Linked DNA regions of Lytechinus pictus. The protein of the gene in region 2 purifies or fractionates together with the protein of the main gene of each other region. This does not show direct contact. Links are inferred from orthologs where the notes say so. Each region holds a gene or a part of one and is shown on either strand. Other genes may lie near its edges. The genes, in order: alpha-soluble NSF attachment protein-like, synaptosomal-associated protein 29-like and syntaxin-17-like.

What was found.
Region 1: the proteins of synaptosomal-associated protein 29-like (region 2) and alpha-soluble NSF attachment protein-like purify together in Drosophila melanogaster (affinity purification with mass spectrometry; 3 studies listed by BioGRID, with this or other methods). This does not show direct contact. The link is inferred for Lytechinus pictus from reciprocal best matches to the Drosophila melanogaster genes Snap29 and alphaSnap.
Region 3: the proteins of synaptosomal-associated protein 29-like (region 2) and syntaxin-17-like purify together in Drosophila melanogaster (affinity purification with western blotting; 4 studies listed by BioGRID, with this or other methods). This does not show direct contact. The link is inferred for Lytechinus pictus from reciprocal best matches to the Drosophila melanogaster genes Snap29 and Syx17.

What each region holds. Positions count from the first base shown.
Region 1 is NC_087251.1:20,744,490-20,754,830, forward strand, and holds the start of alpha-soluble NSF attachment protein-like, read left to right. Parts: upstream 1-5,655; 5' UTR 5,656-5,935; coding exon 5,936-6,027; intron 6,028-10,341. UniProt on the Drosophila melanogaster protein: Required for vesicular transport between the endoplasmic reticulum and the Golgi apparatus. Also between the endosome and phagosome.
Region 2 is NC_087246.1:3,635,679-3,645,983, forward strand, and holds the start of synaptosomal-associated protein 29-like, read left to right. Parts: upstream 1-5,886; 5' UTR 5,887-5,890; coding exon 5,891-6,317; intron 6,318-9,505; coding exon 9,506-9,672; 3' UTR 9,673-10,305.
Region 3 is NC_087245.1:2,741,563-2,752,099, reverse strand, and holds the start of syntaxin-17-like, read left to right. Parts: upstream 1-5,647; 5' UTR 5,648-5,831; intron 5,832-10,537.

The DNA.
Region 1 (10,341 bases), on a different chromosome or scaffold from region 2:
ATGTTGTTGAACAGTTTGGCTTACTAAGTCTAGATCTACTTTAGATAGTAAATTAGTGAATTTGAATGGGATTTTTTTTCTTTTTACAAACATAAGACAGGAAAGAAGGTTTTAATATATATAGTCTTTTTGAGTTTTTCAGAGTTCAAACGTTAAATTCTCTAACTACTATACAGTTATTGAGTAATTCAAGCAGTCACCATGTGAGGCATCACACATGCAGAGTAAACTAAGCACCCTACTATCTAGGAAAACATCTTGAATGGCCCAATGTAGACTATAAAGCAGTTACCTTTTGTTTTTAAGTGAAAAGACTTATCAGTCTATATTGTTGAAGAGTTTTGTTTACTAAGTCTAGATCTACTTTAGATAGTAAATTAGTGAATTTGAAGGGGATTTTTTTTCTGTTCACAAACATAAGACAGGAAAGAAAGTTTCAGTTTTTCTTTTTTAGTTTTTCAGTGTTCAAACATTGAATTCTCTATTAACTACTAATACAGTTATCCACTACCCAGTATCCACAACATTCTTGAAATTAAATTCTATGCACATACATGTACGCACCTATATAAATCTTAACTCACTTTATGCCGTAAACAGCACTTAGTATCCTCTGGACAAGGCGCTATTGAGCTATCAGTTGAAGTAGTAAGTGACACAGAAAGCTGAGACAAGTATGCAATGTCCGCAGACAGACTTATGGGGCATTGCAAGAAAGTGAAGAAACTGGCATTCAATTGCAAGTCAATATGGGGTCTTAATTATCATGAAAATTCCAGCAATTAAGTGCAATTTTTTACTCGATTGCTGGTCTGCTTTTTCAACAAGAAGTAAAAATTCATTTGCTATAGATAAAATTGATCTATTAGTTACGAATTATAAATTTTCAGAAATTTGGTTGTGATTGAAAATTTTGTTCTTGAAACACCAATAAGGCAGATAAAATCAACATCTTTTGCTCTGCCTTTGCTTCAGGGTTTATTAATATACATATATCAAATAATTGTGAGGGTTTGTTCTTTGTAATATTGCTTAGCTTTACTTTTCAATCAAAATTATGAAATTGTTGATGTCAGTGTCTACTTCAAACTTTTCATGAAATAAAGCTTGCAAGTTTTATTAAGTTATCTTCTCTTCCATACCCCTGTCCTGGAACTTCTTCAAGTTACTCTGAGTATAAGGCAAATTTCTTTACAAAGTGACCACCATGGTCATCCACATAAATTATTTTTTTTAAAGGACCCTTAACATGTAATCTTGTCTCACTCTTAGTCTACCCTAACCTAGACAGGAAGACAAACACTGTCGCTTTTCAACAGCAATTCATGTAATTGTATGAAAAAGGGGCCCATGTCTGTGCACCAAGAAAAACAAAATATTACACATGGATTTCTTTAAAACTCCATAACAAATTTGCATTTGATATTGTTCCATATATTTTCATGAGTACTAATTTGTGCCAAAATCTTATTAAAAATAAATTTGCAGCAAATTATATATGGTTTTCTTGCAAAAAACTGTGGCCAGTCATTTTCAGATTTAAATAGGCCTAAACATTGCCTATGTCTGCGCACCCATTCACTTTATACAAAATGCCTGTAATTCAATATTATTTCAATCATCAGTTTGACTCAGAAAATCAGAATTTGATTAAATGAATATTATAAGTGTACAGAATGTCTTCGCTGCATGTCTCCAGTGTTAGAATCATGCATATCTGCATATACACAGACTTAGGGTACCTTGCCATATGCCATAGAGAGCACCCCGATGTCCTAATTTTTGAAAATTGATAACCTGGGGCGGTATTCTGAAAATCGTGTCAACTTTCGTGTTAAATATCGTGTTATCTCTCTGATTTAACACGCCCCTAACATACCCCCAAATCGGTATTCTGAAAACCGTGTTACCTGCATGTTATCTCATTTCGTGTTATCTATAGCTCCTCCCACTCTACATCTATTTAATCCAATCAAATGCGCTGTTAAAGAAACTAATCGCGCAAAATTTTCAGGGAAAAGGGAACGTGCGCACGCGACACGAAGCCTGCATTGTGACATCATTTTGTAAGCGCATACAGCTAAATAAAAGTTAGAGCTAGAAAGAGACGTGGGGAGGGGTATGTTTTCATACTTCACAAGATAACAAAATAGTAACATAATACAAGAAATTGATTGTTTCAGACAGCATGGATACGAAATTATAACAGGAGACAGAGGCCTCGATCGAATGTGCAGCGGGCAGGGGACGATCGCCCTAAAATATGGGGGCAAGCATAATTTATACATGCCCCCAATAATTTTGAGAACTTGAAAAATAAAAATGCAAATTTTGAAAAGCATGAAAAGCACTTTAAGAAAAATTATATCTGACATTGAAATATCAAACACAAAATTGTATTTTTTTTCTATATTATAATTTGATGCGTATAGCGATTAGCCATGCAAAAAAAAAAACACTTTTGACCGCCCCCTCCCCCCCCCCCCCCCCCCATCCGAAGCATATAGATTGACTGGCATGATAGATAAATTGAGAATAACCTAGAAGCATTGAGTTTTTAAAAAAATAATCATTGGAGCTATATACCGGTAATCATTGAAAAAGGGTTTTTAAAATGTGAATATCATAGAAAAGTTTCCCAATCGCTAATTCCATTCTTTTGAATTTTTGTTTGTGCTTTTTTTTAGACATTTTGTAACTTTCTTCCTCTCCTTTTGTCTTTTTTATATTATGGCAAAAAGTAACCAAATAAATAACTCATGATCATATATGATAATTAATCCAAATCAAAGATGCATTTAAAGTGTATTTTCATAGGAAATTCCAAAGAAATTGTTGTTTAATCATTGTTGGTAGAGACTAAAGGTAGATGGAAAATAAAGCTGGAAAAATGAAAGAAAATTACAGTAAATCCTGCCAAACGATAGCTATTATGTTCTTTTTGACGTTTGCGTCTATTAGAAAAAGTGCAGCCATCGTCATCCCCAACTTAACCTCTCCTTAACGCAGTGTCAAATTTTCGTGTTATCTTCGAACAAAATTTTAGCTAACACCATTTTCAGAATACCAAATTTCGTGTTATCTTCCTCCCTAACACCGCGTATGGGGGTTGCGCGTTGCGCACTGCGTATTTCATGACCTACGCAGTGTTACCACCTGGGCCACATGTTTTTCATGCTAACACGATTTTCAGAATACCAATCGTGTTAGCTAACACCATTTTTGTGCTAACACGGTATTCAGAATACCACCCCCGGGGGATATTCTGAACATTGTCTTTTCTTAAAATTTTATCTTTTTTCAGATATGACAGAATTGGTACAATGTATAGTATTTTGGTGGATGTTACAACTTTTGTCCAATCAAAATTGTCATAAATTTTGTCTCTTCTCTATAGCATGCACAAAATAATAAGCGAATTCATACATGCATAATCCTATTCCAAGCAAATTATAAAACTTGACAGGGCCTAGCAGTCATAAATTTTGCAATTTCTTTTAGTAACATTATATCCTGATACTACATAGTTCCTGACTGTATGTTAAGCACACATTGATATTGTTTGAATTAGACTGCTGCATTTAGTTTCACTTATCATCCATGACAATTTCAAAAATATTTTTTCATGCTACAAGTAATTAGGCCTTACATACTAGATCCAATTCCTCTTTTTCTCTCTTCTCTAGAAATTTTTCTCATCTTTATTTTAAATAGTTCTTAAAGGTCAAATCCACCCCAGAAAAATGTTGATTTGAATAAATATAGAAAAATCAAACTACATGTAGGCATAACGCTGAAAATTTCATCAAAATCGGATGTAAAATAAGAAAGTTATGGAATTTTAAAGTTTCGCTTATTTTTCACAAAACAGTGATATGCACAACTCTGTGACATGCAAATGAGTCAGTCGATGATGTCCATCACTCACTATTTCTTTTGTTTTTTATTGTTTGAATTATACAATTTTTAATTTTTTACAGATTTGACAATAAGGGCCAACTTGACTGAACCATATACAGTATTAAACAACGCTAACTACACATGTTCCAGGAGGAATTAATCGTTGTTTCGCTTGACAATGAGGAGAAAATTAGAATATTTCTTATTTCACATAATAAAGTGCAAAAGAAATAGTGAGTGGATGACGTCATTTGCATACCGAACTGGATGTGAATAGAACTGTTTTGTGAAATAAAGCGAAATTTTAAAAAGACATAGCTTTCTTATTTTACATCCGATTTCAATGAAATTTTCGGTGTTACGTTTTTTGGATTTTTCTCTTATTCAAATCAACTTTTTGTTGGGGTGGACTTGTCCTTTAAGTAAAACTTTAGGCCTAGACCTATTTTTTTCAAATTTCTATGATATATTTAGTACACTTTAAAGGGATGGTCCAGGCTGGAGATATTTATATCTCAATAAATAGAGTAAAATTCACAAAGCAAAATGCTGAAAATTTGATCAAAATCAGATAACAAATATCAAAGTTATTGAATTTTAAAGATTTGCATTATTCTGGTGAAACAGTTCTAGTCATGTCTTAATGAATATTCATTAGGTGGGCTGATGATGTCATATCCCCACTTTTGTATTAAGTTTATTCAACATTTTTCTTCCAAGAACTAAAACAATTGGATTGACAACTGATTAACTCTAGACTTAACGTGCCATGAACACATATCTGTGCATCCACTGGAGTGCCACAAACACATTTTCATGCAATGGTCATACAGCTATTGTTATGCCTATTGCATTTTGAGGAGTGCATTGCATGCACAAGTGATTCCATTGTTCAGTTCAGCTTAAGGTCAAGAGGTTTAAATTATTCAGGAGTAATTCCCTTTTTTTTTAATAAATAAAACAATTAAATATAGACTCTGAAAAAAAAAGGCACTCGCTGATTACAGTAAATGGCACATTAAGAGTTTAGTGCATTAATAATAATAGTTATTTATTGCCACAACTTATTTCATCATAATCATAATGGAGACACATCATTGTACACATTTATGAAAATATGAAAACAATTATGACATAGGCCTATCCGATTTTGATGAAATTTTCAGCATATTGCTCTGTGAATTGAGTTTTTTTTAACTATATTTATCTAGATAAAAAACTTTTCAGCCCAGAGTATCCCTTTATTAACTGTTACTCATATTTTGTGAAATAAAAAGAAATGCATGTTAAATCTTATTCTTAACCCAAATTGTTTGATGCGCAGACTTGAGACTGAGTCTCTCTAAGTAACCATGGAGGTAGAATGCTTTAACTACTCTCGGCCTCAAGACAAAATTCAAGACGATCTCGCATGTGATTGTGAGACTGACTGAGCAGTGAGCTGATCGACTGGTCTGGCTCTGCCTCTGGGCCGGGTCCCAATAATCATGATAATCAGCTTTCTTTAGTTGTTTCTTACCAAACCTGCAGTTGCAGTTAAGGCAGTCAATGATGATTAAACCGGTGTTTGGAGCAACCCACTGAGTCTTGAATTATTTCTGTCCTCTGAAATGAAGCAAGTGCAATTTAGAATGATGATCTTTTAACTTTTTGTTGCTGAATTAAACACCGGCTGTTATTTTCAAGTCAAATCAGCTGTTTCATCAAAACAAATCGAATCTCGCGCGAGCGCGCGCTCTGGTTAGAAAGGTCATCCCGCGATATTGCTAGTTCTGCATGCTGTCTACATGGGATCGTGGGATGAAGCTTCCGCATCCGGGCGCGGCCGCGGCCGGTAGGCGCGCGCTAGATATAGCTACATAGCTTGCTACGGTACGTGTGTGTAGATTTGGTGACACAACACTGAATGAATGATGTCATTATTATTAGACCGATCTTCAATCATTATCGTCATTGATAGATAGTTTAACTTGAAAATTTCCTTTAAATTCTGGTCGTGAGTCGTCAACATTAACAATACATAATCGCTTCAGGAATGGCGGATCACGAAGCCAAAGCAAATCAGTGTATGATTGATGCTGAAAAGAAGCTGAAGTCATCACAAGGATTTTTTGGTTCCATGTTTGGGTGAGTTGAATCTCTGTCTCTGATTCCTGAGTCTGATTTGATTTAGCGAAGTTAATCTTATCTTAACGTTTCTGATATTGACACAGGTTGACTCCACTAACTTTAGTTTTCAATTTTAGTGGGGCTAACGGGTGTATATGGATAATGGAACTCTTCCCTTGGCTTAATCTTTATTGGCCCTATTCAGGCTATTGATTGGTAACTTTGTCATTATTAATTAGACTTGGAGTGGACTGTTCTAGTCTAGTGACGTGTGAGACTTGAATTTTGAAAGACTGGGCGAACACTGGCCAAATTTGGATTTTGGTAGGTACATGTAACTGGGGGTTGGGGCCTAACGTAAGCTTGCAATGGGTTAGACAGCTGGCAGCCGTCTGTTTCGAGGAGTTTTTAAACATTTTTTTATTTTCTTAATTTCTCCTCGTACACAGACCGACAGACGGCTCGCTATCGTGCAGCCACCATTAGGGGACTTACAATGCAAAATCCCCCCGTCGGGGCTCTTCAATTTTGTCTTTAATGAATCAAACTTTTGAAAATTAACGCGACAGAAATGCAAATTAATATTCTCTCTTAGTCTTGGCATTAATTGCCAAAAACCGGGGAAAATCAAGTTAAACGGAACAAAAACAGTGACTTACATGTATGTACCTTGGCTGTCGCGCTACTTCACTGCCCTGTTTTATCCAAACTTAATACACATAAACATATGGCCATTGAGTCCCCTGTACAGATCGCGCTAGAACTTCGGTCTCTGTATTTAGTGAGTGAAGCCAACGGAGTTCAGCTGAACAACTAACATAACAGAGACCGAAGCTTTTGGTCTAGCAATGGGTATGGTATCTATAGGGTTAGTATACTAATACTAACCTCGCAATACATGTACATGTGAGTGGGTATGGTAGTGAATCGTAATTTGTATAGCCAAACACTTCATGAATTCAATCATCAAACACTATATTTTCCAAAAATTCACCAAACTTGTCTTTCACCATATAAACATACAAATAGATCTAGATTCTAGGCTATGTAGACATTTTGCCAAAATCGTTTATCTTTTATGACTTTTTTATGATATCAGATTCCGATCGAACCCCTCTTCGCATGTGAAATACCGGTATGGTGAAAATGGTATCGTATTACTGAATGTGTGTTTTCTATGGGAAAACTTGAGAAAACAAAATCACTGATGAGCTATTTTTACAATATTTTATTAGTTTATGAATATAAAGTCTTTGAAAATGTGTTTTGACCATTTTTCTGTCTATTCAAGTTCCCTTTGAAATGATTTTGCAAAGTTTTGAGCATATGAAATAAATTTCTGATGCGTATAAGGCGTGCGTCCGGTAATACATTCTTCCCTTCTCTCAGTTCCCTTTCTATGTTCCTTGCCTCCTTGTTCATATGTGCACATCAATCCATGTTCTTCTTCCGTTGAGTACAGTCCTCTTTACAGAGTATAGTCGTACTTGGCTGAGGCCGCAATCACAAAAGCACATGACATTTGGTGCAGTTGAAAAAAACTAAACTATAGTGCAAGTAAAAAGATGCATCTCAACTGGAGAGCTAACGGAGGGTGAGTGGTTCCAGGTGGCTCCTGAAACACTCAGTTGAAGGAGCCAAAACCACTGTTGTAGGCAGGACATTCCACAAGCAGATGGTACTTGGGAATCTCATTAAACAAACATATTTGAGGGAATCGAGAGTTGCTGTCCTAATTTTTTGTACAGGAAAAGAAACACTAGTTAACTTGAGCTCATTTTTCTACCTTGAATTAAATATAAGTGTTTTACAAGCAATAGTAGGTGTACCTCAAGCGATGTTCGTGCAGGCTTCAATTCACTACCGCTACCCTACGCTCCACCTAACCGATTATCGAGCCCGTAAACTCGTTCGGATACTCCAAGAGGCAAAGGTGGGAACAAAATATATTTATTGTAAAAATTATAGAAAAAAAATATAACGAGAAAGAAAAATAGCTTAATTTCTTACTCTACACCCTTATTTCACTCCGTGTCCATCCTCCGGTTATCCTCAAAATTTGTGATTTTGGGCCAGTATCTAGTTCCTCACACATAATTATTCACGGCCGATTTCAAAACATCGCATGCAAGTGAATGAATATATATTATATTGGATGGCTCAGAAAATACCAGAAATATTCTAAGAGTTTGGGAAAATATTCCACTGATTCGTAGAGGTATTCTCTTTGCTGCAAATGTTAACAAAAAAAGTTGGTCTTCCAAGCTGGAGACTGTCGGAAATTACATACTAAATCATCTACAAAAATCTCTGATACTGGAGATAATCTCCTGAATGAGAAAGAATTTCCAATATTGGCTGTGCACCTTCACTTGTAACGTAATGACAACAAAGTACATTAGACTGGTCCATGTGACTTTTCATAGTCATTGACATCAGACTCTTCCCTTTTGATTTTTTTTTATCAGGTGTTGGTGTTGACACCTTATTGCTCATGTGGAGTACTTTTTCATACATGTAGCTCTTCCTCTATCCTTATAACAAAACTGTTTGGTCCTTGTGCCTTGGTGAAGGCCGCCTTTGACATGCAATGAGCATGATTGAAAATGTCAACTGTGGTGAGTGAAGAAGACTTAGCAATTTCATAGCATGTTGAGATTGAAAGCCATCTGATAGACAGTAATATATATGTTTCGCTTCGTGGTGTTTTGGAAAGGAGTTTGCATTTTATATGAGGGATTCTCTCGTGTTACATTTCAGCTTTTCAGCTGCAGTCCCGGGGGGGGGGGGGGGGGGGCACTTCCATTGACGAGTGGATACCATGCGCGACCATGGGGTCCCGAAAAGCACCCTAAACAAGTATTTTCCATATTCTGAAAATGCACCCCTTAACAAGTATTGGCGTGTGAAACCCTACCCTTAACAAGTATTGGAAACAAAACAATACCCTTTTCAAGTATTCCCTGAATTGAACCCCTAAACAAGTACCGGTATAGCGATTATATGTCACAGACGTCGGTTTTACCTTTACCTGCATCATTGGGTTGGTACGGCCCCAGCTTCCACACCTCGCGCAAATCGGACTCTAAACACGTAGTGATAACTGTGGGGCAAAAAGTACATCCGTCATATAACATTTTAATCTTTTTACCCTCGCAAATTTGACCCTAAACATGTAGCTTAACTAGCGAAATAGATACCCTTTTTTCATTATTTTAGTGTTTTTGACACCCTTATTACGTTACGTACGTAACATGCCCTATCTTGAAAAAGACATCCTTTTTACATGTTTTTTTGGTCGCGCATGGAATCCACTTGCCAATGTAAGTGACCCCCCCCCCCCCCCCCCAGGGCTGCAGTATGTGTATGATTGTTTTACTGAAAATAATAAACCATGAAATGAACAAATGAAAACAGTATTGAGATGAAGTTCTTTGGTGAATTTGATAGTGCATGAAGAACCTTGTGCACTTGCTTGTTCCTGGGCAGTCAGGAGATTTTATTTGAATTTGCACAGAAGCAGCCACATCTGATCCTACATGTGGTTTTGCTTTTGTTCTTCAGACTCATATACGATAGCTCTGATTGTTAGAAAGTGCATAATTTAAGGTCAGCGATGAGACTACAGTCCGACCTCTCTTATCTGGACACGTTGGCACCAGTACCAATCCGGATAAGGGATTTTTCCGGATCGAGATACCCAATATTGAATACACGCAGCTGCCTCCCCAATGGTAGAGAGCTCTACATGTAATATATTCTAGTGGGCGTACACGGGGTGACACGACATTTGTTCCGGCGACAGTTGCTCCGGGCTTTATTTTGTCTAGGATGTAGGGTTAGGGTTGCAATAGGGTTTTGTGTTTAATATGTTTACTGTTAAGGTTTAAAATAAAGTATAGTTTTAAATGCAGGGTTGAAATTGGTCATTCCATTAAATGTGTGGAATTTGCAGCAGAGCAAATGTCATGGAACCGTACACAGACAGTATTTCACTGCAGTCAGTGCAAATTATAGGCATTTTTTTTTACTGAAATGAAATCGATTGGTTGCCAAAACTCTTGGATAATTTACCTGCTGAAATGATTGAGGAATACATCAAGCATACCTCGAAAAAAAAGAGAATGACTTGCTGAAACTAAGTTTGATAATTGGATAATCGCAGCTTCGCAAAGTCAGCCATTGTTATACTGACTGTAGGCTCAAACATGATAGATGGCGCTGTATGGGCAAGTCTATTCTCAGCGATGTGACCTACAGGTGAGAGGAGCGTGTCATGCACAATAGATCTGTGAATGGTTGCGCTGTGCCATGATTTACTGAAAATTATCC
Region 2 (10,305 bases):
ATCTTAATGTCGAGTTGACTGGGATGCTGATCAAATTGTTCATATACAGCCTCTTCTGCTGCTGCAACTTTGAGCTTAGTTTCTAACATAAACTGTGCCTTCTTTTGCTGTAGATGAAATTCTTGAAGCTCTAACTCATGCTGTTCCCTCAAGGATGCTAGCTCTGCTGCCAGGGCTGCCTTCTTGGCCTTCGTCTTTATCCTTGATGACGCTGTTGAACTCTTACCACCTTGGCTGGCCGAGTCCTCGGACTTGATACTTTCAGATGATCCACTCATGGCGACTGTTCTTGATGGTGACGGTGACGACTGTTCTTACGGTGACAATGTTATTGAACTTTATGTGACGTATAACTACTAGTGACTTGACAGTAGACAGTACTCAAACAAAAGACTCGGTGACGCGGAATTTCCAGTTATCATACGATGCATCAAATATACAATCTGGGCATACCATCTAGCATACCATCGAGCATACCATCGAGCATGTTCAATCTGTAGCATAAAAATATAAACAAACAATAATAAGCATCTGTATATGCAGTTACATTTATGTACTTGCATGAGATAAATAAATAGTCTATGTATTGCACAAATTATTTGTGACGTTTGAATCTTGCATAAATAAATATTCTGGTTTCCTGTAACAAATTTACCTGTCAAATTCTGTCAATGTATTCAAATGACCTTGAATAAACTTTGCTATATGCGGTTAAATAAACAAAACCTTTACTTTGTCTCATTTGTCCTTTATATCAACTACGATACTTAAATATTACCTTGCCTCTAAACTATATACTCTGGGGCATTATTGACTAGCAATAACTTTACTCAAACCAAATAACTAGGCTTTCATTTCACCTTCACTGTATGTGTTATTTGTAATTATCAGGGCTTTAAAATGCACCAAAAACTGGCTTTAATGCCTTATTTCCAAACTCATACATATACTGTATCCTTTTCAACAACTAGAGCCAAATGTAGCTAACAAAGAACAACATTTGTTTATTTGACATTCCATTTCGTTTACAACTCTGAACATGAATAGCCTACTATGCACTGTGTGCGAGATTACCACACAGTACCGTACCAATATGCTATTACGCAACACTCTTCATGTGCATGTCCAATTACCTATTAATGTACAATGTCAATATACGTTTATCACACCTGTATTCTATACGTTAACTCCAAACACTTTCACCAAAGTTATGAGCTAAATTAACAACAAATTAATTATCGTCTCGAGTTAATTTTGGTTCCATATATTCAGTTAAACATTACATTACGGAAATATAAAGGTCCTTTTACTTACAACATTGGACTTGTACCGATTATCTTGAATTCTACTGTAAAGTCACGACGGGCTGAACTTTAAATCTTTGTCGATCTTGGCAAGGCAAATTTCCAACGCCCTCTATCGACCCAGATAAATGATACTACGACCCAATAACGTCTCTGACGTCATGTTAAATATTTCAAAGAAAAAATACACTTTCTAAATCTTACACCCTTTTTTCATTATTTTTGTGTTTTTGACACCCTTATCACGTTACGTACGTAACGTGCCCTATCGTGAAAAAGACATCCTTTTTACGTGTTTTTTTGGTCGCGCATGGTATCCACTCGTCAATGTAAGTGGCCCCCCCGGGGCAGCTGGTCTTGGGGCCCTGGGGCCCGTTTCTCAACACATGGACAAGTTAGTCATATCTTTATCCACCAACCACGGAGTTAGTTCCAATCTTACTAAACCTGTTTCTCGAAAGGCTTCCTAACTAGAATACCTTGATATCGATACTATCGGTAAAAAGAGCAGACGAGACGTAGCCTTAGTCACAAAATAGCATAATTTTCAAAAAGAAAAATTATTACAAAATTGCAAATATTATGATGAATTGGGAAATAAATCTTTTCAAAATAATAGCACAGGTGAATTATGCATCATACATACTTAGACCATGAAGACTGGAGCATTCAATTTCAGAGAAAATAATTCATTTCATGACTAAAAAATCACTTGTGGACGTTGAGATGGGTACCCCCGGGAGACCCAATTTTAATAGTTTACGAAAGTAAACCATAACGGTTTTCTTTGTAAAATGATGATAATTATACGGACCATTACGATTCCAAACGTCATCAAAATATAGTTAACGAAACATTTTTGTCTCACCTGCATAGCAGAGTGAGACTATAGGCGCCGCTTTTCCGACGGCGACGGCGGCGGCGACGGCGGCGGCGGCGGCGTCAACACCAAATCTTAACCTGAGGTTAAGTTTTTGAAATGACAGCATAACTTAGAAAGTATATGGACCTAGTTCATGAAACTTGGCCATAAGGTTAATCAAGTATTACTGAACATCCTGCCTGAGTTTCATGTCACATGACCAAGGTCAAAGGTCATTTAGGGGCAATGAACTTAGACCATGTTGGGGGAATCAACATCAAAATCTTAACCTAAGGTTAAGTTTTTGAAATGTCATCATAACTTAGAAAATATATGGACCTAGTTCATGAAACTTATACATAAGGTCAATCAAGTATCACTGAACATCTTGCATGAGTTTCACGTCACATGACCAAGGTCAAAGGTCATTTAGGGTCAATGAACTTTGGCCGAATTGGGGGTATCTGTTGAATTACCATCATAACCTTAAAAGTTTATGGATCTGATTCATGAAACTTGGACATAATAGTAATCAAGTATTACTGAACATCCTGTGCAAGTTTCAGGTCACATGATCAAGGTCAAAGGTCATTTAGGGTCAATGAACTTTGGCCAAATTGGGGTATTTGTTGAATTACAGCCATAAATTTGAAAGTGTGTTGGTCTAGTTCATAAAACTTGGACATAAGAGTAATCAAGTATCACTGAACATCCTGTGCGAGTTTCAGGTCACATGATCAAGGTCAAAGGTCATGTAAGGTCAAAGAACTTTGGCCACGTTGGGGGTATTTGTTGAATTGCCATCATATCTCTATAAGTGTATTGGTCTAGTTCATAAAACGTGGAAATAAGAGTAACCAAGTATCACTGAACATCTTGTGCGAGTTATAGTAGTTTTCAAAATCAGCACTGCTGCTATATTGAATCGCGTGATGCAGGTGAGACGGCCAGAGGCATTCCACTTGTTAATAATTGATACCGAAAGATACGATATTGGACAAATTATATGCATAAATTAGAGATAGAATTCATCCAACTGTTAATAGGGGTCTGAAAACAACAAATACGAGTTCTGTTATGGATGGCCTGACGTGGTAGAACTAGAATCTTTATCGATTAAATCATTTTACTATTTCAAAATTAATGGTTTTGTGGCGTTTACCAACAGTTTTTATAGTTTCTTTGTATTACAATTATCATTGAATGCATTAACCCACTTGTTTTGTGATGTAATTTCAATCTCTATGATTGATTATGTAAGATTATAATTTTAAAATTTCTAGGCACTTTCGCATGTCATAGTCTACCCACGTGATGCCACTACGTCATTAAGAAAGAAGTTAAGACAGGTTCGGAGGTGTCATAAATATTTAGTGAGGTTGTTGTACCCGATCTTGGTAAAGAGGGCTTCGTGAAACGGTTAGCGGACAAGTAGCTCACTATCTCCGATTTAGTCAAGAAGTTAGACTTATGACGGTGTTGAGAAACGGGCCCCTGTTTCATAAAGCTGTTCACTATGTTTAAAAGTTAGAGTGACTTCAACAACTGGCATGACCATGATTACTGGTGATCCTTGTGGTAAATGATATTCACCATTTATTTGATCATGTTAATGATTGATGATTATTTAATGTAAGATACTAAGAAGAAGGTTCACCAGTCATTCCTAACTAAAGACTTAAAGGAGAATGAAACTCTTGGAGCAAGTTAGCTTTTGTGAAAGCAGAAAAATCAAAGAATAAGATCAACAAAACTTTGAGTAAAATAGGACTAGCAATAAAAGAGTTATGAGCATTTGAATGTCGAGATCACTAATGCTATGTAGATCCTCCCATTGGCAATGCGACCAAGATCTGTGATGTCACGCACGTACAACTCTCCCATTCGGACACTGAAAATATACCCCAAAACATATCTTTTTGCTCATTCTAATCATATGACAAACGATTCATCAATGATATAATGTTGTGAAACCTCTGTACTTGTCATCTCATAAAGAAAACACATAACCTTGTGATAGACTCTATAAAAGTGAGAATATAAGTGAAATAAGTACTAAAGTAATGAGGGAGTTGTACGTGTGTGATATCACAGATCTTGGTCGCATTGCCGATGGGAGGATCTACATGGCACTAGTGATCTCAATATTCAAATGCTCATAACTTTCTTATCATTTATTCAATCTTCCTCAAACTTTCAACAATATGTTTCTTTGATTTTTCTCTTTGATATGGATTCAGCTAGTTTCAAGGGTTTCATTCTCCTTTCAGTCACTCTTAACTCACTTGCTCACTGCAACCATCCTGCCTGTGGGATTCTACAGGTAGGACTATGGTTAGACAGGAATAACAATCATTTCTGGGGATTTAACAATTTCTGACATTTTACTATCATCCCCATTCACTGACGGTAGTGTGTTAGTGCGAGCCTGCATATATATATACAGTGCGTCCCAGAAAAAACCAAAGCGAGATTAAGCGATGATTTATCACAACTTAATCACAAATACAATCAACAAATGACCTACCAATGTAAAGCTTAGAATCTCCTCTTTCATCTGATTTTACTTAGATTATTCCTCATTCACGCATGAGTGAGCAAAAACAATTTGAAGAAAGGATGCAAAAAACTCATTTGGCGGGGGGTATCTGAATTTCAAAAAGAAAATCACATGCCTAAAAAGTTCAATATGTGCTCTTGTATTTGATACCTTAATCAGACAAAATGGTCGAGAAGTAAAAAAAGTTATGTTCCCTCGAAACAATGCTTGTATTTCCATAATTTCATTAAATAAACGTGTTTTCATCGGTTTCCCACAGAAGCTATCGCATGGTTAACAAAAGACTTAACATGCTTAATGCATGGCTGATCGTCAACAAAACGGAGTGTCAAGAAGTGAGTTTGAACGCTAGCCTGTAGAACCTCTTCATTTTATGAAATTATTGAAATTCAAGCCTTATTTCAAATAACCAGAACTTTGTTATTTCCTGAACATTTTCTGTAATTGAGGTATCAAATTAAAGAGCAGATATTAAACTTTTTAAAAATGTGGTTTTCTTTTTGAAACCCAGATACAGTCTGCCAAATGACTTTGGTATCCCCTCTTCAAATTGTTTTTGCTCACTCATGCGTGAATGAGAAATAATCTAAGTAATTTCAGATAAGGGGAGATTGTAAGCTTTACAATTGTAGGTCATTTGTCTATTGTATTTGTGATTAAGATATGATAAATCACCAATAAATCTCGGCTTCGTTTTTTGTGGGACGCACTGTATATATATATATATATATAAAAGAAAAAGAAGGTTAGATGATTTCCTGTGTTTGAATCAGTGTAGGAAAAACATATTGTGATGGGTAATTTTGCCCAACTTGCCTCCTAAAATTCTTCAAATCAAAAACTTTGGGATGACGCTCTTCTCTCAAGTTGCCCTAAGATCTGCCACAAACAATATTGAAAAATATGTAGAAAATCAGTATATTCAATATGGCAGAATAACCATATAATTGCCTACTGTGCAAGAAAGTAGCACCTTGAAATTAAAAAAAAGCCCCAGAATTCAGCAATCACCCCAATATGAAAAAAAAAATGGTCCTTATGAAATGAAAATAATTTATTGATTGTATGTTTGATGATATCCCAAATTAGAGGAAATTGAAGTAGGGAAAAATTCTACTTTGTAATCACAAATTATGTATATTTTCATATTAAAAAAAAAAACCTATGCAGGAACTTTTACACCAAGGTGAACAACTCAAGAGAGTGGACACCAAACTGGACAAGATGGACAAAGACCTTGATACATCTAAGAAACATATCACATCAATGAAATCAATATTTGGAGGCATTGTAAACTACTTCAACAAACCCAAAGCTGGCCAGCAGGAGCAGCAAGCCCCGTCACACGGTTCTAGCAACCTTAAGACACACATGGAGAGGGTGGAAGCAGAGGAAGAGATGAGAAGAGCTAACTCTGATCATCCTGCTCTGAAGCTCAGAGGGGTGGGTGCTTCGGAGCCCAGTGCAGGTTCTTGGGGCTCATCTTGTACAGGAGGATTTGGAGGGGAGAATGATGGTGGAATGTCTAGCAGTAACGTGTTGCAGTCACATAGTATGAGGGACTTTGATAATCATCTCAATTCTAATCTAGGTAAGCTATATATTGTAGTGACAAACTGAAAATGAAATGGACTACATATGACTTTTCTACAAAGCACAAAATTGGAGAAGTAATGAGATAGAGAATAAAAGAAAGAGACCTGGGGGCCGTTTCATAAAGCTGTTCGTACATGTAGGTTAAGAGCAACTTTATTAAGAAAGACTGGTGAGCCTTTCTTACGCGCTGAATAATCACCAATGGTGTATACCATTTACCAATAGAAAGGATCACCAGTCGTTCTTAAAGTTGCTCTTATCTTACAAACAGCCTTATGAAACGCCCACCAGGTAATACATGTATAATAAGATATCATGTTTGTTCTAGAAAATAAGTCAGAAAAAAAAAATCTTGGAACCAGACAGATATGAATTTGTTTTCTATTGATTGGTAGGCATGTCTCTACCACCAGGCCATTTCTAGTCCATGGCACAGCACATACACGGATCTAGACTAGATTTGCCAGAGGCATACCACTTGTTCAGATTAAATACACAATCTTATTTTATCGAGAGCAAACCAGCATTGTCTCTGTATAAGGTATTTTTTGCAACTGCAATAGGGACAGATTCAAGAACACAGTAAATATATTGAAAGTGCCTGTCAATGACAAAGAACAGCTGGGAGGTCTTTGTTGAATATTGATGAACCGGAACAGAAGTTTAGTCCTAAGTTCTAGAGCTGACAAAAAATTGCAAATTTGTCGTTTGTCCTGACTCCAAGATGAAACTGCCATTGTGATTCACCAAGTTTTGGTTGTGCTATGTCATGGATATATTTTCTATGTTCTTTAATCTGTTGTGCGTCATGGAAGCAAAAACTAGATTATTGACATTTCCCCCAACAAACAATTTACAACTCTGCTAAATCAGCAACATTGCCACATGATTAATTCCATTCTGAAAAGTAGGTCAGATCAGATGAATTTAGATTTGCTGAAAGTTTATATTTGTTCATTATTATGAAAAATATTTTCTTTTAAAGGGGAATCCAACCCAAATAAAAACTTGTTTTTATAAGAAAAAGAAAAATCAGACAAGTTTATAGGTGAAAGTTTGAACAATATTGGACAAACAACAAGAAAGTTATGAATTTTTAAAAGTTGTAAATATTGGTAATCACTATACTCATGGAGACTTCAAATTGGCCGCATATGGGATGTCATAGTGATGTAAGGCAAGGACTACTCTTCCATGTACTCCAATACATATTATGGCTAAAATGTCATTTTTCCCAAAAGTTTTATTTCAAATTATATTTTTCTTTCATGAGGACATTAAACAATATACTACCTGGGTTATATTTAGATTACTGCCCCAGGGGAATGGGTACTTAGGAGAAAACCACAAATCCCTGATAATAAAGTACATGGCCTATGGGAAAGTTGTCCTTGCCCCTTGTCATAATTTACTTACCCAGTTGCCAATTTGAAATCTACATACTATTAGTGATCTTAATTTTAAAGCAGCTATAACTTTCTTATTGCTTGTCCGATTTCTTTCAAACTTTCACCATTCTGTTTAATTTATTTTTCTCCTTCCCAACACAACATTTTATGGCAAAGGCTGGATTCCCTGAAATCAGAATTTCTTGGAGGAGATCTTAAGTTGAATCATGGATCTATTTTAGATAGACATTCAACGTGATTCTTTGATCAAAGGAGATTTGCTGCCTAGAGATTATCTCTAGTCTTAATCAGAACATATAGGTGATGTGATAGTTGCGACTACCAAGGGTCATCAGATCATAATACAAAGAAACAGTTTTCCAGACCTTGGTTTTGTTGGCTAAATTGAGAAAAAGACAATTTTTATGATATGAAATATTACTTGGTCCCAGGCCTGCTTGGTCCGCAAACTTCCACACATAAATATAATTACTTCAATAACATTGAGAGATACATGATCTCTACACATGTGCCTTTTGTCTCTGGAATATTAGGAGGAAACTTGGAAATTGGGATTATAAATGATACACAATCAGTCACCGTTTTTTCTTATCTTAAAATATGCATATAAATCGCAATAGAACACATGGAAATAAGATTACCAAAGGTTAACCAGAACTTCCTAATGCCTCATGTTTCATGAAAATTAATTAAATTAAATTAATCTTTTTAATGAAAATTTTGCATTGTCTTGTTTCCTTTGAGGATAATGATACTTTCTGATTGCTGATAATTCTCAATTTTTTTTTTCTGATTTGTTAACAAAGGGAAAGTGGAACACTCTTCTTCTACATCAATACCAATTAGTGGTGTAGTAATCTAGTTGTATGATTTGTTTCCTTCATTGGCTTACACTAAGGTAGTCTACAGTTTTCTAATGTCTGTAGATAGTGTTTCCTCCATCCCTTCCTTCACCCATTTCATTCAGGAAATGAGTGATGAGTTTTGATTTGTCTTTGCAGTAGAACTCCTTGAATGATGAATTGAAAATGACTTTTGAAATCCATATTCATTGAAACTGAGTATTCATAATATTAATCATACCTATTGAATTAAAAATCCTTATTAACATGGCTAGAAATTGTTACAGTTCCATTTTCTAACAACTTGGACAAGAAACAATTCAATTTACTTATACATGTAGACTCATGAAGATTGAATATTTCTTAACTGCATTTAATGAAATATACCCCCATTAGGAATAAATACCTTGATGAATGTTTGATTGCCTATATGGGTAGCACTGCTAAAGCCAGTGTAATATAGCAGCGCTCTGTACCCTCTGGCAAAAAGCGATTTATAAATCCAGCTATTGTTATTATCATTATTATTAATGCTAGAAATTTGATTTGAAAGTATAGAATTTATGGCAAGAGAGAAATTTGAAAAAGAGTAGAGTCAAAATAGAGGTAATTTTTATTGTTATATTGATTAAACAGCATAGAAATTGTGTTTAGATTTATTTTCCTGTCATCTGAGGAATTCCTTAAGAATACATGAAATGTAAACTACACGATGGATTGATGCAAAGTGTAATTTGCATATTTTGTTCAGATTGCATGTTATATTCTTTATATATATATTTTGTAGTTACCATGCATATAACTATCAATGCAATATTTTAAGGTTTTTGCCCTGTTGAAATACATTTATCCTGCTCATTTGATTGTAGATGATTTAGGTAGCAAATTACAATCATTCTTATATTTATCTTCTTCTTCTCCCTATCAACTAGATGAAATTGGCTCAGGTATTGGTCGCCTAAAGGGACTTGCCATGGGATTGAATGATGAACTGGAGAGACAGAATGCTGATATTGACAGGATAACAGGCAAGGTAGAGAGAGTAGATGACAAACTGGGTAAAACAGACAAAGAAGTAAAGAAGATCCTTAGAAGATAATGAAGGCTGGTATCAGGAAACTTGTCAGCCGTCTCTCCTCAGTTAGGTTTAACGATGTGACTATATTATATTTTTTTTATCATCAATGTTTTGCCCCTCGATCATATTTTTGTCAATATCCAGTCAACATGAATTCTCTCATTTCTAGATTATTACATTTGCTGTTTGTGTATCTTTCATGGTAAATATTTTGTTAATTTACCTGTTGTCAATACTCAATGCAGTGGGTGAAAGTTACCAGCACTGACAGTTAACTAATCTACAGACCAGTTCTTCTCAGCCAATCAAATCCAAGGATAAAACCAAATTGTCAGAGCTGCTTATAACTCTCATGTAACACCTTCCAGATGTGTTCATTCTTTAAATACTCTTGCATATTTTAATGATATATTTTGGAATTGTGCTGAAAATTGGGATTTTAGATTTTTTCTATTATTATTGTTATTATTATTGTTGTTGTTTTGTTTATTTGTTTCTGTATTTGTTTTGAGGGGGAGGGGGTCAGTGTTGGTACTTGGCAGGTATGACTTTATGAATTCTTAAATGTTTTTAAGCTTTGTTTGAATGAAGGGTCACTTTCTAAGCCTTGTCACTCATATATGCACCAAAAGTTGTGAAAATTTTCACCTTTCA
Region 3 (10,537 bases), on a different chromosome or scaffold from region 2:
TATAAGAAGCGCTAACCAAAACTTCGAGAAATTACGATTATTATTAGAAAATACACAGTTTGCCAATCCCCCAATTATTGCTCTTACTGAAACTTGGTTCACAGAAACCCCGAATTCCTTATGCACCCTCCCGAATTATGATATTGTTATAAACAATAGGAAAAATAAAATTGGAGGTGGACTAGCATTATATATTCCGTCTTCATTTGATTATGCAATTAGACATGAATTTGAATATATGAATGAAATCATCGAATCCTTATTTGTAGAAGTAAAAATTCAAAAAGATAAGAAAACTCTAACAGGTGTCATCTACAGACCTCCTCAAACGTCTTGTATAGAAGATTTTTTACTTGCTACTAATGAACTTTTGCAAAACGGAGAATTGATAAATAACAATTGTATCATCACTGGTGATTTCAATATTAATCTATTGACCAGTAATCACTCTTTAACAAATTATTTCCTTGAATTAATGTTATCTTCTACTTTTTTGCCTATTATTTCTAGACCAACCCGTATTACTGATCATTCTGCTACGCTTATAGATAATATATTCTGTAACTCTCATCCTCTTCCGAAAGCTGGCATTGTAACGACAGACATATCCGATCATTTTCTTATTTTTACCCATATCCAAACAATGCAATCACTCGCAAAAATGGAAAAGAAATATAGGATCTGTCGCAACTTTAGTGATAAAAATATTGAACGCCTTCAAGAAGATTTAAGCTCTGTTGATTGGTCTGACGTTTATAACTCGAATGTGAATGTCGATGACTCATTTGACATATTTTTGAAATCTTTCAATGACTGCTTAGATTATTGTGTTCCTTTAAAGAAATATCGAAATTACGATTATAAACGTGTTCCAAAGCTCCCATGGGTTTCAAAATTGATATTAAGGTCTATAAATCGGAAAAATAATCTGTATGTTTCTTATATATCAAATCCAAATGATATTTCAAGGAATAGATACACGTCTTATAAAAATACCTTAACAACTACTCTCCGAATAGCAAAAAAGAGGTTTTATTCAGAAAAATTAAATTCATATAAAAACGACCTTAAAAATACATGGAAAACAATAAATGGGGCCCTAAACAAAATTAACAAATCTAGTGCTGTTCATAAATTATGTGTAGATGGAAATATGGTTGAAGATACTCATTCTATAGCAAATGAATTTAATACATATTTCTCTCAAATTGGACCAAAGTTAGCTGGAAATATTATGCCTGTAGAAAATTCGTTTAAGGACTTTTTGGATAAACAAAATGAAAGTTCAATATTTCTTACTCCAGTTCATAGAGAAGAATTACTTGAGATTGTATTTAATTTGAAAGCAGAAAAGACTCCCGGTTATGATGGCATTACAAATAGAGTTGTGAAAAACCTTATACATTCTCTTGCTTATCCTCTGCTTCATATATTTAATTTATCGTTGCAGCTTGGCCAGGTCCCAAAGAAGATGAAAATAGCTAAAGTTATACCCATTTTCAAGAAGGGAGACCAATTAATTACTAGTAATTACCGCCCAATATCTTTGTTAACTTCGTTCTCAAAAATTCTTGAAAGGATAATTTATAAAAGGACAGTTGCTTTCCTTAAGAAATATAGTATTATATGTGATAATCAATTCGGTTTTAGAGAAAAACATAATACAACTCATGCTATATTGACATTAATAAATAAAATATCTACTTCTTTTGACGATTCTGATCACACCGTAGGGTTATTCCTCGACTTCTCAAAAGCGTTTGATACAATAGATCATGAAATACTATTATGTAAGCTATCAAATTACGGTATCAGAGGGACAGCTTTACAATGGTTTAGGAGTTATCTTACTGATAGAATTCAGTTTGTTACAGTAAATGAATCAGAATCTCCAACAAGGCTAGTTTCCTGTGGAATTCCACAAGGTAGTATTCTTGGCCCTTTGCTCTTTGTACTTTATGTTAATGATATGAAAAATTCATCTCATGTTCTCTCATTTATTCTCTTTGCTGATGATTCCAATATTTTCTTTACACATCATGATCCACGTGTACTTGTGAGCACTATGAATGCAGAATTTAAAAAAGTAACAAACTGGATTAAAGCCAACAAACTGTCATTGAATCTGCAAAAAACTAATTATATGCTTTTTAGTCATTCATTGAAACATCTACCGCATCAAATACTTTTAGATAATACTGAAATCAAAGAAGTGCAAACAACAAAATTCTTAGGTCTTACTATTGATCACAAGCTTACGTGGAATGCTCATATCAACAATATTTGCAAAACTGTGGCAAGAAATATTGGAGTCATCAATAAGCTTAAAAACGCTCTTCCATCACAGGCGCTATCCATGTTGTATTGTGCATTAATTCTACCATATCTTAATTATGGAATTCTGGCATGGGGTAATGCCTCTCAAACGAGACTCAATAAAGTCTTGCTACTTCAGAAAAAAGTACTGAGAATAATATGCAATATGTCCTTAAGAGCTCATACAGATGAATTGTTTCGTCATAAACGTATCCTTAAAGTCAATGACCTGTATCGCTTGCAACTATTCCAATTCATGTATCAGCTAGATAGAAATAGTGTACCTAATGTCCTACAAAAGAAATTTATGAAAAACAATACCTTACATTCATATAATACGAGACATTCAAATGACTATCACTTACCCAAAAGTAGAACAGTATTTTCTAGCAAAACTGTATTTTTCACAGGACCAAAACTCTGGAATTCTCTGGATAGAGTAATAAAAGAGGCAGCTAATCTAAACCGATTTAAATTACTCATCAAAAAATTTATTCTGAATTCTTATTGATTCAATCAAATATTTTGTGAACCTCATACTTACCCACGGTAGTATTGATTATTTTAAAGTCAATATTTAATTTTGTATATAGTGTGAATACATTTGTGTTACAGTGTTTATATATAATTTTATAGAATTTTGCTGATTATTTTACTCTACTTATATCATATTACCCTTGTATAAAATCTTGATAGGGGGTCTACATTTTACAAGCTTTGCTTTTTAGTAGGCCCCTCCACTTTTTTCATTTCATTGCTACGTTTCAATCCTGTGTGTTATGCATTTTTTTCAGTGTTAAAATGATTTATTATAAATGTACTTTGATGATTGTGGAATATGAATATATCAATAAAATAAAATAAAAATAAATTAAGAAACCCCCTCTCAGCATCCTAACACGACATAATAAAACAAGTACCCAATAACAGAAAAAAAACCTATACGCCTCTCGTGCTCTGCCTCAAAACTACGCCTAATTCCACCAGCCACGCCAGTTTTACTCCTGCTTTCTAAACAAACTTGTTGAAATGACAAGAATATCTGTTAGCATTAGTAGTACAATAGCTATGTCTAGTCGAACTTTTGTACCCAAGTAACCTTTTACTAGTCATTTACTATTTAGGTTTTGGAGTTTAGAACGTCTACAACCCCCCCCCCCCCCCGAAAAAAAACCTATGTAATAATATTAATGTATAGCATTTATGATTAACTAGTTGCCTTTTCAAAGGCTCACTGTATATTACCCCATGTATCACGTTGTTAATTTAAAACTCATATCATACAGAAATTCTTCAGAAAAAAAATCTTGATTCATCATAAAACATGGCAGTTCATGGGACTCGTAATGCATGCGTGGTATGAAGAACGGCTTACTAGTGAGTAGACAATGGCGTCACCGGCGTCACAATAATAAGCATTAAAAAAGTAATGTTGCAATGTCTGTCCTGTTTTTATACAAAACAAACATCATGGCATGAACAGTGTCATTTCCATTTTGATAAATATACATACTTGCAGGTGTAAAGAAACATTTATAAAAACAAAAAAATACGTATGAAATAAATTGAATATAAAACATAAATGATATTGAAATCTAAATTTAAAATGGCTCCAGTGATAAGTCTTGCAAGGTTGAATAAAACAATTATGACGAAAACACACCGAAATTAGAATATCTTCAAATAGAACTTTGAAACCAAGAAAATAAGAGAGACATATTAGGATGGCAGGGAATTTTGATGAGAAAACTGTACTGATGCATTCATCTCACTTAGTGTATTCAGGAAATAATTTGAATTTTGAGAAAGATTGATGGGGGAAAACGCGTTTTGTATAGTTCCGCTATTATCATAATATGATTTATGAGATTCAGTTTCGCAAAATAAGAAGATAAGTATAAGGGTTATATCATTCTATCAGAATAGTTAAATGTATATTAGTCAATAGGTCTATTATGGTTAGAGGTCTGTTTTATAATCATGCTTGTTAATGGGATGGGGACTTGTTATTTCCATTCAAATAATTTCCAGTAAATGATAATAATAATATATAGCATTTATGAGGCGCCGATTATCTATAGTTTCATATTCAATGGAGCACTATATTATACCCATGTGATAGGTCTACATGGGCTGCACTGGTATGATTATGAATTGAATTGAATTTTTTAGAACGTCACTGGCATTCGCCAATATTTTGTTCAAAACAAGAAATACAAAATAATACAAAACAAATATACAATTCGAGGAATATAAGCAGATAAACAAAAACAAAATAGTATTTCGTCAAATGTATAACATGCCTCTTTTATTATTTACAATATAGGTCTTCTGTTTAATTATTGTTTTAACTTCACAATAGAATGTGCAATGGGCGGTCATGTAGGTTTTTATATTGTTTTGTTTGTTTGTTTTGCAGTGAAAAAGACATTCAACATACTTAATTTGCACGTTTCTTTTCTGTGTTCATGAAAACGCATACATAGGCAAAGTGCATTATAGGGAAAATTTCTTGCACTGACTGGTGCCCTTCTTTAGGTATAGGTCCAGAAATATATAATCATACTAATTTTCGCATGAATCCTCCTTGAATGTTTTCCGCAATCCAATTCTAGTGGCTGCCATTTCCTGAATTTCCCATAATTTTACAACCAAAATACCAAAGTCAAATGTCTGGGTTTTTTTTTTTTCAATTTTCAAGCTCATGGCCACTTATAGAAATGTTTTACCCTGGCTTGGAATTTCTCTTGCAATAGGCCGAGACTAAAACTGAATCGACGTTAGAAAAAATATTCAAACAAATCTCCAAGATTAAATATGATTTCTTTGGAATTAATTTTGGATATTATCTTTTTAAGATAATTATGTAGTATGGTATCACGTACTCTATAATCATTTATTTTTGACTTGGAAAGTAGCGTATATGCTACAGGTGCCAAAATAACAACGATGGCGAATTGGCGATGACCCCTTGGCGCCTGCGTGGGGCGGGGGTAGGCATTATGCCAGAGTTCCCCCACATGATTTTTTTTTAATCGGGGATCAATAACCGTACAATTTCAGCAGAAGTGAAGTTTTGGAGGAACCTGTGCCTTTGAATATTTTTAACAGAAATATGGCACAATGTAAATGCTCTGGATCATCATCATCTTTTTTTAAGCTTTCTCTCCGTATCCTAAGTCAAAATTCAAACTGAGGATAGAAAAGAAGAGTGATTAGTAAAGATCATGATAGTATCATGAAAGTTGGAACTTGAAGGAGAAGAAGAAGAAAAATAAAGACGTTAATATAATGGAAGACGAAGAAACGATAGAGGGCGACGTTAATCAACACTGAATATGCGGGATTTCCCACGAACGATTTCGTAAACAAAGCTAAGCTCGGCCTCCATCCTCAGACGAAATTGTGAGCTTTTCCTCGTATTTATAACATTTCTTAAAAACCGTTAGTGCACAGAGCGTTATTGGATACTGTGATGGACAGGGAATAACATATGACACACCAAGAATCCCCTTGTAAGTTGGACCAGTATGGTATGTTTCGGGTATGTTCACGCAGATATAACTTAAGTAACTACATGTACCGTATGTAGCTGACTCCTGACCACGGCTCCTAACTCTGAGCCTCGGGGCCGCGCCGCGCCCGCAGCTCGTACCGGTATCGGGCGGTGGTCCGGCCGCAATGCCAATGATCAGGGGCGGTATTCTGAAAACGTTCTTATCTTAATTTTGTTCTTATCTACGTCACGATCTCAAATTGGTATTCTGAAAACGTTCTTATCTTTTTCTTATCTTTTGTTCGTATCTTTTTCTTATCTTGCTAAACATCCTTACCTCGAGCGAAGTTCGTGCAGGCTCCACTCCACTTCACTACCGCTTCACCTACCCGAAGGTGAAGCGTAGTGTAGCGGTAGTAGTGAAGTGGAGTGGAGCCTGCACGAACTTTGCTCGAGGTAAAACATCCTATGCTGAGCGCGTAAATGTATTACTCGCGCATATAATACAAAAGCGCGCTAAAAAGATAAGAACAAAATGAAGATAAGTGGTATTCTGAAAACGTTCTTATCTTTTCTCTTTCTTATCTTTCACGATATTTATGATAATATTTAAGATAGCTAGAGGGTTATCACATCTCACGATGTCCGCGTTCGCTCTTGCTTAAAATCGATGGCCACTATTAGTAACAAGTTCCCACAAGTATTCCTCCCACCCTTTCTTTCAATCACCCTTTATTTTCCCGTCTCTTTTTTCTATCCCTTTTTTCTTTCTTTCTTTATTTATTCATTTTCTCTTTTTCTTCCTATCTGTCTGTCTTTCTTCCTTTCTATGTGTTTGTCTTTCTTTCTTTCTTTAAGTTTATTCTTCATTTATATCTTTGTTTTATTCTTTTGAATCTTTTAATTTCTTTACTTTTCTTTTGCTTTGTTTCATTTATTCTTCATATTTCTTCCTTTGTTATTTTCCCTTTTCATTTTATCCCTTTCTTTCTTTTCTTGAATAAGTCTTTATTTCTGCTTTTATTCTTTCCCCTTTCTCTCTTCCTTTTCTTTTCTTTTCATTTTTCTTTCTTCCGTCACATTTTTGTAATCTTTTTATTTCTTCCTTATTTTTTCTTTAATTCTTTCGTCTTTATATGTGCTTTTCCTTTTTTCCCCTTTTTCTTTCTTTCTTCCTTCCGTTAATATTAATTTTTTCCCCTTATTTTTTTTTCTTTTCTTTTTTTTTCTTTTTATTTTTGGGTTCTTTTTTTTTTTTTTTTCGTTCATTCGTTTGTTCTTTCTTTCATTTTTTTTTATTTCTGCTTCCTGACACTCTTGTGTCTTATTTACTTTCTTTCTTGTGTTTTATTCTTTATTTCGCTCATTCTTTTTTCGTTCATTCTTTATTAACTCTCTTTCTTTACTTTCCTCTCTGTGTCTTTCTTCTATCAATTATTTCTTTATTCTTTCCATTAATGTTTTTCCGTTTTCTTTTTTTTTATTAATTCTTCACTTTTCCTGACTTTTTATTTTCCCTTTTCGTTCCTTTTCTTTCTTTGAATTTTCCTTTCTTTCTTTTTATCTTTCTGTAATCTTTATTTTTGCTTTAATTTTCCTTTCATTTTTTCTCTCTCATCTTTATTTCTTTGGTTCATTTTCCTTTTCCTCTCTTTTTATTCTTTTTTATTTTGTCCTTTTACTTTTTTCCTTTAAGTTTCTTTCTTTTATTTCTTCATTTTTTCTTCCTCACTGTATCATTGATAATCGTTCTATTTTTTTCCTTATTTTATTATTTTTAAGTTCTTTTTGCTTGCTTACTTTCGTTTACTCTTTATTTCTTTCATTATTTTTTGCTTTGTTCCTTTCATCTTTTTTATTATTCCTGCTTCATTCTGACACCTTTCTGTGTACTTACTTTCTTTCTTCATATTTTATTCTTTATTCGTACCTGCTTTATTTACTTTTTATCTTTACTTTCTTTCTTTCTTTATTTTGTGCACGTGTCTCGAAATAATAATCAGTCATTGCGTATAAAATTCATATTTCGCGCAATGCGCAGGAAACAGTGTACGCACAGCGCCCATGATATTCTCTTGACATAAGGAACGCTTCTATTGGTTAAACTGCCAATATAAAGTGCATTTTGATTGGTAATATCCTAAAAATGGGCGTGTTGAAGATAAGAAGGAGGCAGTCCTTACAAAGATAAGAACGCGTTAAGAAGATTTTCAGAATACCGATTTGCAATGATTTTAGCGTCTTCTTATCTCAATGAGATAAGATAAAAGATAAGAACAAAGATAAGAACGTTTTCAGAATACCACCCCAGGGCTCCGTAACAGAAAGGTTAGCGAAACGGAATACAGAGCTACCAAGTCTCACGCATTGTGCGTGAGACTCACGCAGTCAGGGTCCGTCTCACGCATGGCACCTTTTTCTCTCACGTATCGGGACAGAAAAAATAAAAGTAGCATTATATTCGCTAGATTATACGCACTGGCCGCACGCCGTCGCGTCTACCCCGGCGCACGAGACGAATCGAGAGTACAGTCAGCGCACAGCTAGTACGTGATACGATGAATCGCGTGTGTGCATCGCATGGTTTTGTAGTATGGATTGATATCATGATGAAGCCTTGTTTTTACTTGCACGCTGTAAGCAATTTTTTATCGAATAATGTACATACACTTGCACGCTGCACTTCACCAGTACGACAATACACCAGGCGGTGGACTGTACTGTTTCCAGAAGAAGAAGAAGCCCATATCTCGCGCGAGCACCTTTTCGAAACGTACAAAGCGTAAGTACTGGCCGCGCCACGCAGAGACGCCGAGTCATGAAAATCTCACGCATAAAATTTTTTTGAACTTGGCATCTCTGGGAATAATGAAATGAAATGGCGTATCAAGATCATTGTTGCATGCTCATTAAGCTCAGCAGACTGACGAGGAACCAATCAGAATTGTGATTTCAAATTAGTGATTAGTCGCTAAAGTTTTTGTTTCGGGGCCAAGGGCAAGGCCAGTCACAATCAATGCTAACCCAGGCCAGGGAGAAAATTATGCACTTACCATGATTATATGGATGAAGGTCTATCGTGACACACAAATCCTGACATCGAGGCACAGACTGGAACCTCAAAAAACGAAAAGTTCTGTCGCGATACCTCTCCTTTCAAAATTCAAAAACAAAAATGGCCAATCGAGACCGAGGGTATATTTCGTTTTTTTGAGGTTCCAATCTGCGCATCGATGTCAGGATTTGTGTGTCAGGATCCCGGGGGGGCCACTTCCATTGACGAGTGGATACCATGCGCGACCATGGGGTCTCGAAAAGCACCCTAAACACGTATTTTCCATTTTCTGAAAATGCACCCCTTAACAAGTATTGGCGTCTGAAACCCTACACTTAACAAGTATTGGAAACAAAACGATACTCTTGGCAAGTATTCTCTGAAATGAACCCCTAAACAAGTACAGCGATATTTTATTGTTATATCACGGGTCCGTTCGTCGTGGGTTTTACCTTTACACAGTACGGCCCCACCTTCCACATCTCACACAAATCGGACTCTAAACACGTAGTGTTGGGGCAAAAAGGACATCCTTTATAAAACATTTTAATTTTGTTTTATCATCCCCGCAAATTCGATCCTAAACACGTAGCTTTCCTAGCGAATTAGATACCCTTTTTTCATTATTTTTGTGTTTTTGACACCCTTATCACGTTACGTATGTAACGTGCCCTATCTTGAAAAAGACATCCTTTTTACGTGTTTTTTTTGGTCGCGCATGGTATCCACTCGTCAATGTAAGTGGCCCCCCCGGGGTCAGGATAGACCTTCATCCATATAATCATGGTAAGTGCATAATTTTCTCCCTGGCCTGTGTTAGCATTGATTGTGAGTTGTGACTGGCCTTGCCCTTTATTATTATCATTTTATTAAGATTACTATTGAGACCCCAATCTACCCCAGTCCCGCGTCTCCCTCGTTTAGCACGGTTGACTCCTGGGGGGCGTTTCATCAACATTTTCATCCGACAAGTTGTCAGATCTGACAACTTTCCTTGATAATGATTGGCTGAGAGTCACTGTTACCATAGTAGCTGTCGGATAAAACAGTACTTGTCGGATACAACATCCGACAAGTCCTTTCATGAAACGCTTCCCTGGGTTAATCAATGCCAATGCTGGCAATGCCTAACTTAGCCTTGAGTAGCCTGGAGGCTTCTGGAGACGGATTTCCCTAGGAAATCGATCTTTTAAGATAGAAATCATGTAAATTTGTTGTTGGATTTTATTTATCTATACAACTTCATACCCCTAATGCATATATGAAGGTGCAAATAAATGTTAGTATAAATATGAAAAATGAGAGGTTTCTTACCAGACCAATCTCGTGTAGATCCCTCGATCCATTCGTAAACACCGCAAAGACAATAGGCTTGACCCTTGAACCACTTCATTATGATGTAGCTTCGATAAGTGATGTTACAAAATGCCATTTTGAAGAACAATTTATAAATAAAAATTATTATTTTTAACAAAAAACAAAATTTGAAACTTCAAATTTCATTGTCAAATCTGTAAAAATTGAAATATTGTCAAATTAAAAAATAAAGAACAAAAATAGTGAGTGAGGGACATCTTCGAGTCTCTCATTTGCATGTGACTAAATTGTGCACATAACTATTTTGTTAAAAATTGGCGAAAATTTAAAATTTCATAACTTTCCTATTTTAC